Linked DNA regions of Elephas maximus indicus. The protein of the gene in region 2 purifies or fractionates together with the protein of the main gene of each other region. This does not show direct contact. Links are inferred from orthologs where the notes say so. Each region holds a gene or a part of one and is shown on either strand. Other genes may lie near its edges.

Region 1 (7,627 bases), on a different chromosome or scaffold from region 2:
GCACTCACCCCCCCTTGCGCCAGGCCCGCCGCGCCCCGGTGGCTCCGCCCCCTGGCGCTCCCCGCCCCATTGGTCCGTCCCAGGGCGCTCCGCCCCCACAGCGCTCCAGGCCCCCATTGGCCTGCCCCCAGGCCGCCCCGGCCCCATTGGTCCGCCCGCCCTCTTGGCCCTCCCCCAGCTCACATTCTCGTGCTTCAGGTGCTTGAGCAGCCGCAGCTCGCGGTACGTCCTCCGCGCGTGGATCAGCGACTGGAAGGGGCGTGACAGCTTCTTCACCGCCACCTTCTGGCGCAGCCGCGCGTCGTAGGCCGAGCTGGAAGGCGGGCGAGTGAGGCCACGCCGACGGGTCTGGGCTCAGCCCTGGCCCCCCGCCCCAGGCCGGCACGCGGGGAGCCGGGAGGAGAGGGCCGGGCCGGGCGCCGAGCCGCCGGCCGCCTGAGCGCCTCTCCCTGGCCCCTCCGCTGCGCCGGGCCCCGCTCCCCGCATCCCATCCCGGGGCCTGGCTCAGACGTGAGCCCCTCGGGCGGGGCCTCTGCCGGCTGCCGACGGCAGGGTCGGGGCGAGAGCTGGGCTGGCTGGCGTGTGGCTGGACAAGCCCTCCTCCTCTGCGTCCCGTCCACACCTACTCCCTCCTCAAGAGGAGGGTCAGCTCCCACCACCACCAGCAGAACGAGCTACCCGGGGCCCCACCACAGGACTCGGTTCTTTCGCCTCCTGCTTCCCAGCCCACGGACTCTTCCCCCAACGCAGTGCTAGGCCCAGGAAGAGCCCCCGCCAGCCAGCGTGCAAATGACATGTCAGGAAACGTTCCTCTCCGTCCCTCATGGCCCCATGGGCTCTGGGAGGCTCCCCAGACCTCCCCCCCAAATCCCCTGGACTCTCAACACCTCCTCTGGGCCCTGGTCCTGGAAATATATTCAAGATATGGAGGGAAAACTGGTCAAAGGTGTTTATTGCATCATTATTTTTAACAGTGTAAAAGTGGACGATGTGAAATGTTCAGCCGAGAGTGGTGCCTGGACACACGGAACATGTCAGCTTGCCCAACCCCACTCCCCACAGGTCCAGACTGTCTGGCACCAGCCCCTCACCTGCCTAAGGCCACCTGAGACACAGCAGTCCCTGCTACAGTCCTCAAACACAAATGGGACAGGGTCATCGCCCACCCATCCATGGTCCCCACTGTCCTCACTACCAGGACCCGACTACTGAACGCAGCTTGGAGCCCAGGCATGGAGGGGTTTGCACAGCCTGTTCCTTTCCCTCCCTCCAGCTTCACTTCCTGTCTGCTGGGCTCCCTCCCCCTATCCTCAGGAAGAGTGAATGGAGCCTCAGGCTGTCCTGATAGGGCTTCCATGCTCATGGGGGATCAGAGTGGTGGTGGGGGGGGTGGTACAGGGATGCTGGTCAGGTGCCTGGGGTATCCATGCCCCCTCAAGCTTATGACCCACCCTACAATGGTCCCAGCACCTGTGGGGGGGGTGATGAGGCAAGTGGCCCCTCATCTCTGGCAGCAAACCCTTTTGTCTGATTGCGTCTGCGCAGTGGAGTTGACAGGAGTCCGCACCCCATCCCCAGCTGCTGCCTGCACCAGCAGAGCCCAGGACAGGGCTATCCCCCTGCACCGGGGCCATGCAAACACTGCCCGAGATGCAGCAGGAGAAATCCACTTCCTCCCCAACTCCCAGACTGACAATTCCCTGGGCAGAGGTGAGTCCAGTGTGGCTCTGCAGGTCCCCCGGATGCACTCATGTATTGTCCCAGACCCTCCCCCTGCCCTTGAAGACCGAGGCCTCAGGCTGGAATGGCTGAACCAGCTGAAATGGCTTGCCCGAAGCTCCTGACAGCCTGCAAGGACCAGTGAGATCAGCCTGCGGACCCCAAGCCTCTGCTCTTGACTCCAAGAAGCTACGAGGAATTGCCCCTCCTAACGGTCTGCAAGAGCCTGGAGCAACAACCCGCCACACCCTCGTGGCCCCTGCCTCCCCCTCCAGTGGACGGCAGCCACCTGGCAGCAGCGCTGGTAAAGACCCTACTGGGTGCTGGGGCGCATCTCTCAACGTCCACACCCAAGCATCAGCCTCAGCCTGTCAACATTTAAACATCGCCTCAGGGCTCCCTGTAACCACCTCATCCTAAGTCCTCTCCAAACCCCAGTACCAGGGGAAGGAGGCCTGCAGGCGTCCCGGACGCCCCACGCAGACTCGACCATCTGACAGGGCCCCAGGCTGGACGCCTCAGGGTCCAGCTGCAGGGCTATCACCTGAGCTCCCTTGGTTGGGGCAGAAATACGTGGCTGCAGATCCCCTCTGCTCTGGCCTAAGCCCCTACTCCGGAGCCTGATCCCCCCGGAAAAGGAGGAGGGGCAGGGCCCGCGGGTGAAGCCTGAGACCGGCCTAAGGGCGGAGGTCTTCATCTTTTCCCACCTGGGCTGCCCCTTTTCAAACAAAAACACCCACCGGGGAGCAGGGGGGCCGTCTGCAGACCCTGGGGGCTGCCAGACCCTTGACTCAGGGAACGTCAGATTCGTGCTCAGGCCTTCAGGGGCTCGGGAAACCCACCCTCTCGCAGGATCCGGGCCGGGGTGGCGGCGCTCCGGGTCGTGCTGAGCCAGAGGACACCCCCGCCCAGGTCGGGAGCGGCCTCTGGGAGGAAAGTTTCCTTCGCGCCCCCCATTCCTTCCTCCGCTCGGCGCCGGGCCGGGGGCGGGGGCAGGCGAGGCCCCTCCCCACGCCGGGGCCCCGCAGGGGGGGAGGGGGCGCACTCGGCCCCGTCCCGCCCCCACCCCGCCCACCCCCGCCCCGCCCCTACCAGACCGAGCCGTAGGCGCCGGAGCCCACCGGGCGTAGCCCCTGCAGCCGCTGCGGCACCTCCCACACCGTCTTGTTCAGCTCCTGCCGGTAGAAGCCGGCGCGGGGGTCCGACATGTCCGGAGCTGCCTCCTCGGCCCAGTTTGGCCCCGCGCCGCGCGCCGGAGCCCGGGAGGAGCCGGAGGGCGGCAGGAGGAGGCGGTGGGTGGGGCGGGACCGGCGGGGGGTTTCCCGGGCTGGGTGGCCGGGGGCGGGGGGGATTCTCGGGCCAGCGCGCGGCTTCCTGCCCCTCTGAGGCGGCGGTCGGGCGGAAACCCGCCTGCCCTCCCCCTTCTGGGCGGCCTCGCAGCCCGGGGCGGTGCCGGGGGCGGGCCCGCGCGGCCGCGGTGGGGAGGGCGGGGGGCGGCTTCCTCTCTCGGTCCCCTCCTACCTCCTGGGGCCTCGCGCTTCCCCCAAACGTCGCCCGCGTCCTGTCTCCGGCCTGGGCACCGCCTTGTCCAGGCCGATGCTACCGCCTCTCCTCGCACCCCCCGCCCGCGCGGATCTTCGCAACCCCGCAGCCTGTTTGGGTCCCCGCATCCCCCAGACGTTTGTGGCCCGCACCTCCCACAGCCTGCTGTGGCCAGCCTGTTCCCATGCCTCCCAGCCCCCTTGGGTTCCTGTACCCCTCAGCTTGTTTGGGTCCCCGCATCACCCAGCCTTTTGTGGCCTGCACCTCCCCCAACTTGCTGTGGCCCGCATCTCCCTCAGCCTGCTTGGGTCTCCGCACCCCCTATCCCGCTCGGATTCCGCACTCCCTGGTCAGCGGAGCCTTGGGGCCCCGATGCGGATCTGCCCGAAACCTCGCCTGCCTCCAGCCCCGGATCCCACATTATCTCTTCTCCCCTTGATCTGTCCTCACCTCCTGCCACCTGCCCTGCCCCTTGCCACACTTACGGGGAAGGTGAGGCGTGGGCACCGAGTCTCCCCAGTGTTACCCTCAGAAACCAGGGAGAACTGTCAAAATCGAGGAAGCCAGGGGTGAGCATTGGGAAAGATTTTTCATCAAGAAAGTTTGTTGTTGTGTGGCGTGGAGTCGATCATGGCTCACAGCGACCCTGTAGGACAGAGTAGAATTGCCCCATAGGGTTTCTGAGGAAGCAGACTGCCACATCTTTCTCCTGCAGATTGGTGGGTTGGAACCGCTATCCTTCCGGTTAGCAGCTGAAACTCTTAACCACTGCTCCACCAGGGCTCCTTATCGAGAAGAAAGGAGATACTACTTAAAAACTAGGTGTCTTGTTTAAAAAATCAACCAAAAAGGCCCTTAGACAGGGCCACTGCCTCGGTGGCATATGGCAGTGCCTGGTTTCCCTTCCCGTGGGGGAAGCTCTGGCCTTGGTGGTTGTGGCTCCTCTCCTGGTGAACCTTCCATGGCTTGCTGTCGGCCCTCAGCAGGGGTTCCTGCTCATCGGGTTGGCCCGGGAGAGGCGTGACCGCCGGGGCCCAGGGACCAGCTCTGTCAGGACCAGGGACAGCGGCTTCGAGGGGGCGGGGCGTTTGGGGTGCTGTGCCTACGAGGAGGGTACCTAAATACATCATCCTCCTTGGTGTCTTCTACCTCCTTCCCACCTTTCAGGAAGCTCCCTGGCTTTTCCCGGGAGTGAGCAATCCGCCTCTGGGCTGCAGGGGCTTCGAATTCAGCCCTCGCAGCCGCAGAGTAGGTGACGGGAGTAAGGGCCGGTCGGTCCCTTCGCGTGGCCTTCAGGGTTTAGTTCTTACAGCCTGCTTTAACCCGGGGCAGGTGAGTGTGTTCGCCGGTCCACCAAACGTTCTAGCCAGCGTTTTTCTGGCGCTCTGGGCCTCAGTCTACTTCTGTTTCCCGCTTTAAAAATAACGTGAGTTCGGAGAAGCTCTTTGCTCCGTGTGGCTCCTGACCTCCACCCTGGGGGCCAGTGAGGGTGCTGGGGGATCCTGTTCCCAGGGAAGTGGAATTCAGGCCCCAATTGCCCAGACTTCTACTTTTTCAAAAGAAGCTCAAATCCGAGTTTTTGTGTGAAATCTTATGAATTTCAAATATTGGCAACCAAATTAAAAAATGTTAACGCGGTACAGAGGAAAACGAACACAAGTGCCCGGCGAATCCAGACGTGGGGCGGGCGAGATGCGGACAAAGGCTGCGGGGTCCGAGTTGCACCGCGCGGCCACTGTCCGTGACCCTGGGCAAGTCCTGAGCCATGCTGGGCCTCAGTTTCTCTTCCGAGAGTGGGTATCTGTTCCAGGGCCTGGCGCGGGCGCGCTGCAGTTGGGGGGGGTGAGGACGCCACTCTCCGACCCCGAGCCCGCGGGGCCTCCCTGAAAAGGCCCCCGCCATGAGGGGTCCTTTCACCAACGGCGGATGCAGGCAGAGGTTTTGTGCAAAGTTAATGGAGCTTCAGCTAAAGGAGGAAAAAGGGGCGGGAGCCGAGGCCTCTGGGGTGTGGGAACTGCGGCCTAGAGGCCACCCGCGGGGGAGGGGAGCCGCCAGTGTGTGCGTTCCCATGGCGACCGGCCCCGCCCCTACCCCGCACTGTGGCCGGGCACCGCCCTTCGCCCCTTATGGGGGCTGGGCACCGCCTCCTATCCCCCAATCCCTCCCGCGGCCCGAGGAGACCCCGCCTGCCCCGCCCCCGCAGCGCCCCCAGAATCCCGGCGGTGAGGGGTTAGGGCAGATCAGGACTCAGCGGCCTGGCAGAGTGGGGACCCTCTCGTAGGCCTCAGCAGACGTACACTGGGCGCCCCCGGATGCCAGCAGGCTGGAGAGGCCCCTGGGGTGGGGGCGATTGAATGGTCTGGAGCGACTACTGGCGGGTTTGGGAAGGTGGTGAGTGCTTAGAGACCGCCCACCAGGAAGAGGGGACAGTCGGGGCCTGGGGGAATCAGGGAAGGCCCCCGCCCCCAGGAAGCCATGCAGGGAGAGAGGCACCGCGGGGAACCCGAGCAGGCCCGAACTCCACTAAGGGAAACAAAAATGAGGGCCAGGGGCGGGGTAGGCGGGGGGGTGGGAGGGATGGCGGTGGGGGGGTGGGGCTTGGGGGAGTGCTATAGGTGGGGGAGGACCAGACGTGGTGGGGGCCGGGTGAGAGGCAGGCCTGAGGATGGACACCTCCAAGGGGTGCCTTCAGCCCAAGAGGCTCCCACCCAGGCCAGAACCCTGGCCTCCTCCTCCCAGACCACCCCAGTCTCCCTCCACCCCTACAGTGTCCCCCCTAAATATCAAAACCCCACCCTTTCTCTCTGTCTCCACTGCCCTCCCACCCATCCAGGCTCCCACTGGTCTCCTAGACCACTCCTGTCTGGTCAGACGTTGCTTCTCTGCCGTCAGAGCCTACTTCCTGCACAAGCACATACCCCATGGTGGGGAGGGGCGGGAGGTCACTCAGCAAAGAAAGAGGAGGGGCTGCTTAGGGGAAGATTCACCCATGGCTCCGAAGCAGTTGCCCACTTGCGCCACCTCCCCACCTCTCTCTCCTCTCAGGTAGACCAGAAGTGGCAGGAAGGGCGGGCAGGCCTCTTCTGTTGGCATCCTGACCATGCTGTCCTGTCCACCCCTGTGTACCCCATCATACACCACCAAATTTTGCTCCTCTGTTGGCCCTAAGAAAGGACAGCCCCCAGGTCCCTTCACAGTCCTCACTGTCCTGAAAGGGAGGTGAGGGGTGAAAACCTCACCTAAACTTAAGACTGTTGGACCTGAAGGTCTTACCCCAAGCTTCATGGGGGGAGGGGGCAGGTGAGGGAGTTTCTCACTGAGCCCTTCCTTCTCCCTTTTCCTCTTGCTTGGATGCTGAACGGGGTGGAGGTGGAGGTGGCTGCAGGGGCCGAGTCTGGAGGCCAGACCTCCTGGTTCCCAGCCCCCTCCCCCACATCCCCAGCTCAGCACCCCCAGACTGTGTCCCCGTTGCCTTTGTCCATGTCTCTGCTGCCCCATGGTCTGAATTCACCAGGCACATGAGTGACACCTCTTTTGGATGCTCTGACTGGCCTGGTCTCTGAGAAGGGGGGTTGTCCATTGTATGTCTAGTATGCCTTCCTTGTTGGAGACATCAACCCTTGTTCCATGTAGCTTGAATGGGGCTGCCCCTTCAGGGGTGGCGCATAACCAAGATCTAGACCTTCAAGAGATCCCCCGCAACCAGTGACATGTGGGGGGGGGGCACAGGCCTGGGCTGCCTGCCACCAGTGTCCCTGCTGACACCAAAGACACCTTGTGAGTATCTGGATCCAGCCATAACTGAAGCTGTGAGGCTGCCATTTCCTTGTTATGGAGCTACCAAATCCCCTTTCTGCTTGAACTGGAATTCTTTGACCACAGTGGAAGTTCCCTGAGGGCAGTGCCTTGTCAGTTCTGTTGACTGCTGTGTCCCCAGTGCCCAGAACAGTGCCTGGCACAAAACTAGTGCTCAGTAAGAATGTATTGGATGGACAAATGGCAGAGGCCTGTGCAGCTGGTGCTGCCATGTGAGCTTATGTGGCATGTACTGTGTGTGCACGTGTGTGTGCCACGGGTCCCACTTGTGCGTGCATGTGTGCCGTGTGTGCATGTGTGCCGTGTGCACATGTGTGCTGTGTGCCATGTGTGTGCATGTGTGTTGTGTGTGTGCATGTGTGTGCAGGTGTGCTGTGTGTGCATGCGTGTATGTGTGCCATGTGTACACGTGTGCCATGTGTGCATGTGTGCCGTGTGTGCATGCGTGTATGCGTGCCATGTGTACACATGCGCCACGTGTGCGCATGTGCCGTGTGTGTGCATGTGTGCTGTGTGAGCATGTGTGCCGTGTGCGCGCTCATGTGTCCTG
Region 2 (6,619 bases):
GGGACAGGCCTGGGAGCAGAGCCCTGTGGCAAACCAGGTGGCCTTAACAGGCACACACCCTTTCAGGAGAGAGAAGATTAGTGGGACGGCCAGGGCCCAGTGAATGGCCCCTCCCAATGAGAACCCCACCCCCACCCCCAAAGAGAAAAGTAACAGTCGCAGCAGAGGCAGGTTCCGGAGCCGAGCCGGTTCAGCCCGAAAGTGGCGGCAGGTTTAATAGGCACGTTTAATAGGCTCCTCGCTGATGTTTCAAGTGGGCAGGACAAGGCTCTCCTCCTCACCCCTGCTGGTGAGACGAGGGAGCCGGGAGCCGAGGGAGCCGGGCCTTTGAGTATCCCAGGCCCCAGCCCCTGCCTCTTTCCACCGCGCCATGTGAGGTATTGTGCTCCCTCCCCCAGCCTCCTGCCTACAGCTGAGCCCCCTCCCCGAGTCCCACCCCACCCGCCCCCTCCCCCGCCACGTGAGGTGGTCAGGAGCACCCGTTGAGAGGCGGTGGGCATGGGGGGCCTTATGTGGGGTCCAGCTCAAAGACGCCATCGCTGGTGGGGGTTGTGAAGAAGGAGGGTGGGTCATTGGAGGTGGTGGATCCCTGCCCCCCACTGTCGCGCCCCTGCGAGCGCCTCTCCTCCAGCCTCAGGCTTCGCTCGAAGTCCAGCAGCTGCCCCATGAAGTTGAAGTTGGGGGAGATGTTCGACTTCTTCCTCTTGACCAGGTCATAGGCATCATTGAGGGAGAGGTGGAGCTTCTGCATGAGGTAGGCCACGGTGACAGTGACGGAGCGGCTGACCCCAGCCAGGCAGTGGACGAGCACCCCGCAGTTCTGGGACAAGGCCTCATCTAGGAGGAGCCAGGGGAGGGCAGCCTGCCTGAAGCAAAGGTCCTCCCAGCCCCCGCTTGCCCTGTGACCCAGTGGCCATGCCAGGTCAGGCCTCTGGGAGCTGGCCCCAGCCCTGCGCACCACCTTGAAGTTGCCATCTTGCTTTCTGGGGAAGGGCAGCTAAGTGGCCACCTGGTCTGCCTTACAGAATGGGAGGAATTCTCTGAGGAGGGACCGGGAATCAGGTCTGGGGGGTAAGGGGGGACAAGGGGTGACTCACCAATGAACGCGATGGCCTCTGGGAAGAACTGGGACAAGTTCTGGCTCCAGTGGTCTGAGATGGGGATCTGCTTGTAATGGAAGTCGCCGTTCTTCTCGAAGAGGTTGGGGAGGTTGGGGGTGACGTTGAGAATGTAACGGATGCCCAACTTGGCCAAGCTCTCCAGGTTGGCTGAATCCCGGGCACTGCCCAGGTAGAGGTTGGGCAGGATCTGGACAGGAAAGGATGGCAGCAGCCCCGCTGGGGGAGGTGTGGCACCCTCTGAATCCAGGCCGAAGCTTGTGGGGTCACGTTCCGGCTCAGATTCTGCGTCAGAGCAATCGGAGCTCAGGTACAGGCCGCCTAGCCCCACGACGGGCACTGGCCCGGGTGCCTGGGCTGTGCTGGGGCCGCCATGGCCCTGGAGGCTGGTCTCACACAGGTGAGGGCACTCGGCCTGGAATCGGCTGAAGCCACCTGTGCAGGGAGAGGGAGGGTCCTGCTCACCTGGCTGGGGATAGGGAGCTAACCCCAGATGCCCCCAAAGGGAATGAGAAAGCCTGCAGCTTGATCTATACTGGTGTCCTCATGTGGATCAGGAGTCGCCCCACAGGCTGTGGGCACCCCCGCCACCACCCTGAATCTGCAGCTGCGGCTGCTGTTGCAGAAGGAGCCCAGGGAGACTGACCCAAAGTGGACCATATTCAGAAGGGAGCAATGGGCGCAGACCCAATGACCCTCCTTGGCCACCAACTGAACTGAAGGGGATGGGAAAAACTGGTCCTGTAGGCTCAGGGGAGCCCTGTTCCTGCCCTGGATGTTGGGGAGCAGCTGCATTCCCCCTCTCCCAGCCCCGCCATGACTGTATGCCCCAGAGCCTGGGAGCTGGTCTCCTGCTGCCCTAAGAGGTGGCGTGACAACCATGGGGAGGCCGGAGAATGTGCCAAGCTAGGTCAGGTCAGCCCAGTTCTCCTCATTTTCCAGACTGAGAAATCGGGGCTCCCAAAGGTGAAGGACTGGGCCAAGGTCATGCTCAGACCCCCAGCCCCCAGCTGCCTGGCAGGGAGTCAGAGAGGGAGTCTTACCTCCACTTTGCCCAAGGACGAATTAATTATGAATCCCCAGGGCGGGAGGGGCCCTACCTCCCCAGGCTGGGCTGCAGACACTTACCCTGTAGGTAGTAGGCTAGGTAGCCTTCCTCCCGCAGCTTCTGGAGCAAGGTGCCTAGCACCGACTCGGCTTCCCACTCCTCAACGGCCTCAGCTTCAGCCTCCCCGCGCCGCCGCCGCCCGCCGCCCTGGTCATACAGGAGCACGGGGGCAGGTGGGGGCGGCTGCAGCGGCGGCCCAGGCAGCAGCGCGCGCACCGACAGGCTCCCCCGGCGCAGGCGACGCAGCAGCAGCGCTGGCAGGGCCACGCTCAGCGCCCCACCGATGCGCGCCGCCTCGTATAGCTCACGGCTGCGGCAGTCCAGGAGCAGCAGCTGCGGCCGTGGGGGCGACAGCTCGTGTCGCAGCCACAGGCAGGAGCGACCCAGGCCCTCCATCAGCCCCTTGCGCTTCTGGCCACCGGCACTGCGGAGGAAGGGGAGGTGGCTGTGAGCCCAGGCGGGCGAAGTCGCCTCTGCTTCCCAAGGCAGGCGTCCGGGCCCGCGAGGCACCTCGCCATCGCCGGCTCCTCTCCTCCCACCACCCCAGCCAAGACGCACAGGAGGGCGCCCCGAAGGAAAACACGCGGTGTCCGGCACTGCTCCCTGCTCTTGCGAGAGGAAGGCTGGCCATCTGGTGGCCCCTTAGACGGCTGTGGATCCCTCGCCAGTCCCTCCAGGGACACCACAGGGCCACAGCCACGGCCCTTCACACCCCCTTTCTGCGTCTTTCAGCCTGCCAGCGATCACTCCCCAAGTTCAGGCTTTTGAGTTTGGGTGCGTGTGTGTGCTGGGGGCGGGGGGGAGTTCAAGGCCCAGTTCCCCCCGTCCACGGCCAGGCAGGCCCGGGCACAGAGGTGACACCCAGGTGACGGGCCTCGGCGGGCCCTCTTGGAGCTGAGGTGTCCTGATTTCCCCAGGGAAGACAGGACAAAAGGAGAGAGACCTGGAGTTGGGATCAGGCGGCGAGCAGCCACTTTCAGACGTCGTGGCCACAGCGGGGCGTGCGGCGCTGTCCCCGGGCGGCGAGTCCCCAGGCCCGGCTGCTGGGCAAGAGGCAGGGCTGCTGAGGAGGCGCGCACGTGGAAGGCCAGGCCGGCTCTGCCAGCGCTCCCGCCACTTGCTGGCCCTGGACCCAGCTTCTACTCTGGAAGCCGCTCCTTTTGGATGCGGAGCCGCAGCTCAGAGGGGCGGGGCAGGGGCGGGCAGGGGAGGGCTCAGGGTGGCCAGGGAGCCAACAGGTTCCAGCGAGAGCAGCTGGGTGGGCCCTGCAAGTGGCGCGCTAAGCTGGGGCTCCCACCAAGGCGGGACACGATGGGGCAGAGGCCAAGGGCAGTCAGGGGCCCAGGAAGGACTGGTCAAGCACAGCTCCCCTGGTGGCGCCACTCGGCCAGGAGGTGGGGGAGGGGTGGGGTGAGGCCCAAAGCCCAGCGTCCCTGCCCCAGGGGTTGCCTCCAACCCAACTGACTCAGTGAGTCTGGACCTCAGCGGCACCATCTGTATAGTGGATGCACGACAGCCACCACCTTGGGCTACTGTGGGATGCCGCTGACATCGTGGAGGGGAGGAAGAACCGGGATCGGAAACCCACCACTGTCTTTGGCCCAGAGCTCCCACCAAGGGCTAGGCAGGCAGAAGGCAGCCCCTAGGCTCCCCCCGTGGGCTTCAGTGGGACAGGCCTGGCCGAAGGCACCCAGAGGCTCTGACCTCCAAACCCCACCCCACCACACTCTGCTCCTACCACATTGCTCAACTCCTCAAACACATCCACCTTCTCAGCCAGCATATCCACCCAGTCACCCCGGCCAGAATCCTGGGAGTCACCCCTTAATCAGCTCCCCGCTGCCAGAACTCAGCCTTTCATTCAGCAAGGGCCAGTGGGCTCCATCCCATCCATAGGAACAGGGTGATAAGCCAGGCAGAACACACGGTGCTCAGAGTCTAGCAGGACAGACCAGCAGCAAACACAATAATGTCAGGTTGGGACAAGTGCTGAGACAATGAAACGGGACAATGTGATGGGGGGTTCTAAAAAGGTGATCGGGTTTGTCCCTTCTCTGCTTAAAATCCATGAAAAGCAAATCACAGTGTTGAAGGAAAATGTGCAGCACGTAAGACAAAGCTCGGAAATCAATCAGAAGCTTAAGACCAGGATTGATAAATGGGCAGGAATAAAAGAGGAAATGCAACTGGTTCGAAAATGTTTGGGGAAATGTTCAAGCTCAGGCATGGAGGAAAGCAAACCCAAAAAACCAGGTAACACTCCCCACCAACTACAGTAGCAAAATCAAAGCATTTCAAAATAAGAATGCCTAGTGCTGGCAAAGTTGCTGTGCAACTGGTATGCTGCTGTATTGGCGGGTAAAACCCTATTGGAAACTAATTTGGCAATATGTATCAAGAAAAATAAAAATATCCTTTCCCTTTGACCACTTCTGGGAATCTACCTGAAGAAAATAAGCTAAAAGAAGGAAAAGCTATCCACAGCAGGACGGACACCACAAAACGTTTTTTTAAGGCGTGAAAAATGCCAAGCAACCTGAAGTCCAACGTTTAGAGCAGTTATGTACGTATGCCTGTATGTCTGTTGAAAACACTGGTCTCATGAGCCAATAGAGCAAGATGAGAAAATGCTTGGGAGGTACTGCTGAGTGGAAGAGAACAGATCCCAGAAAGCTAGGCCTCCAGTTTGCCCCTCCCCCAGTGGGCCTCCAGCCTCGGACTTCTGGAGCACTGTCAGTGGACTGATCTCTAGCCATGCCCCATCATGTCCCTGCTTAAGAACATGCAAAGACCTACCCTCCCTGGCCTCCAGGGCGGTTTTACTTAAACCGCCTCCATGGGGGGAGGGTGGCCTCAGGCAGCTGGGCCATGTCCCCCTTTCTCTCTTGCACCTTGGTCCCTGCCTCCAGCATAGGTCTTCCTCTGCCATCTGTCCAGATTCTGCCCATTTTTTTGGACCCCCCCACAAGGCACTCTCCTTCAGGCATCCAAGAAAAACAGGAAGTCTCACGGGCCAGCTGTGGTCTCCCTCCTTGGTGCTCCCTGAGGCTGTCACTCCAAGAGCCTGCAGATTGGGGGCTCATTTGCCCCTTTCTCGGTGCGCTCCTGGGGCTCTTGTCTCTCACATCCTATCTCCAGGGAGGCATATGTGGGCACCCGCTGCAGCTGGGGACAGGACCTTGGGATGGGCAGGGGCTGAAGGCACCAAGGAGATTGCCCAGCATAAGTCTGCTGTGGCCAGCGAGGAATTAATTGGAGAGACATGTGCCCTGACTGGTCCTGCCATGGGGACTCAGTGTAGTTGGAGAGAGTGTCACCAAGCTCTGGGAGATAGGAGCTCCTGAAGCGTCTAGGGTGCTCTCTGGACAGGACCCCCTGGGGGTGACTGGAGCTGCAGGGGATGCCTAGGTCCCAATAACCCCCTGGGAGGACGGAGCCTGTGTGTCCCAAAAGCTCCATTGCGGGTCTATTGCTCCAGACCCCTGCTGGCGAGGCCTCCCACGGAGGAGCCGGTGGCCGGCTGTGCCTCGGTGGTTCCCGGCAGCCCGGGGAGGGAGCATTTAGGAGTGGGGGGGATTCAATCTCGAAAGTGAGTGCTCGGCTCAGTGCCGGCGCCAGCAGCGCCCGCAGCGCCAGCAGCAGGACGAACGAGAACCTGTTGCCATCTCCGCACTGCAGGGCTGAGCGCCGCCAAGCGCCCCCCCACCACGCCGAGGCCTCCCCGACTCCGGCCCCCTGCAGTGCCTGCTTGGGTCGCCGGCCCTGCCTCGCGGCCGCTCCCGGGAAGGCTCGGGCAGGGGAGCGCGCCGGGCGCCCGGGCCTCGCCAGGCCCGCTCTGGCGGGCGGAGCCAGGCTGCCGGCGGCGCGCTCGCCGCTCTCCGCAGGGTGGGCGCTGCACTCGCCGCCCCCGCCCTCTCCCTCTCAGGCGGCCCGGCGCGGCCAGACCCACCGGATGCCCCTGCCTTAGCCCCACCTGGCCAGCAGACCCTGGAGGCCGTAGGGGCGCCGCCGCCCTCAGGCCCCGCGCATACCGCCTGTGCCCTCTAGTCCGGGAGTCTCCGGAGAGCGGCGCCCCTCACCCCGAAATGCACCGTTCCCACCAGGCACAGTGGCAGGATTTCGGCTGTGGCAGCCTGGTCACATGGCCAGGAGTACAACTCCCAGAGACAGCGCTGCTGCCAAATTCAGTCTCTTTGCCACCAAATCCACTTCCTGCTGGGGATTGCTTTCTGGTTTTCCTGGTCTGTCCCCTGGCGGGACTGGGAGCTCCTCCAAGGCAGGCCAGTGTGTGCCCGGCCCCCAGCTGGCCCCAGCCCCACTGCCGACGCTCAGGAAGAAATGCTTGCTGACAAAGAAGACATGAATGAATGAATGAATGAAACCAATTGTTGCA

The links.
Region 1: the proteins of DUSP9 (region 2) and MAPK11 purify together in Homo sapiens (affinity purification with mass spectrometry; 4 studies listed by BioGRID and IntAct, with this or other methods). This does not show direct contact. The link is inferred for Elephas maximus indicus from reciprocal best matches to the Homo sapiens genes DUSP9 and MAPK11.

The regions. Positions count from the first base shown.
Region 1 is NC_064822.1:196,618,768-196,626,394, forward strand, and holds the start of MAPK11 (mitogen-activated protein kinase 11), read right to left. Parts: upstream 3,039-7,627; 5' UTR 2,928-3,038; coding exon 2,812-2,927; intron 314-2,811; coding exon 184-313; intron 1-183. UniProt on the Homo sapiens protein: Serine/threonine kinase which acts as an essential component of the MAP kinase signal transduction pathway.
Region 2 is NC_064846.1:2,702,230-2,708,848, forward strand, and holds DUSP9 (dual specificity protein phosphatase 9), read right to left. Parts: upstream 2,623-6,619; coding exon 2,247-2,622; intron 1,554-2,246; coding exon 1,098-1,553; intron 838-1,097; coding exon 509-837; downstream 1-508. UniProt on the Homo sapiens protein: Inactivates MAP kinases. Has a specificity for the ERK family.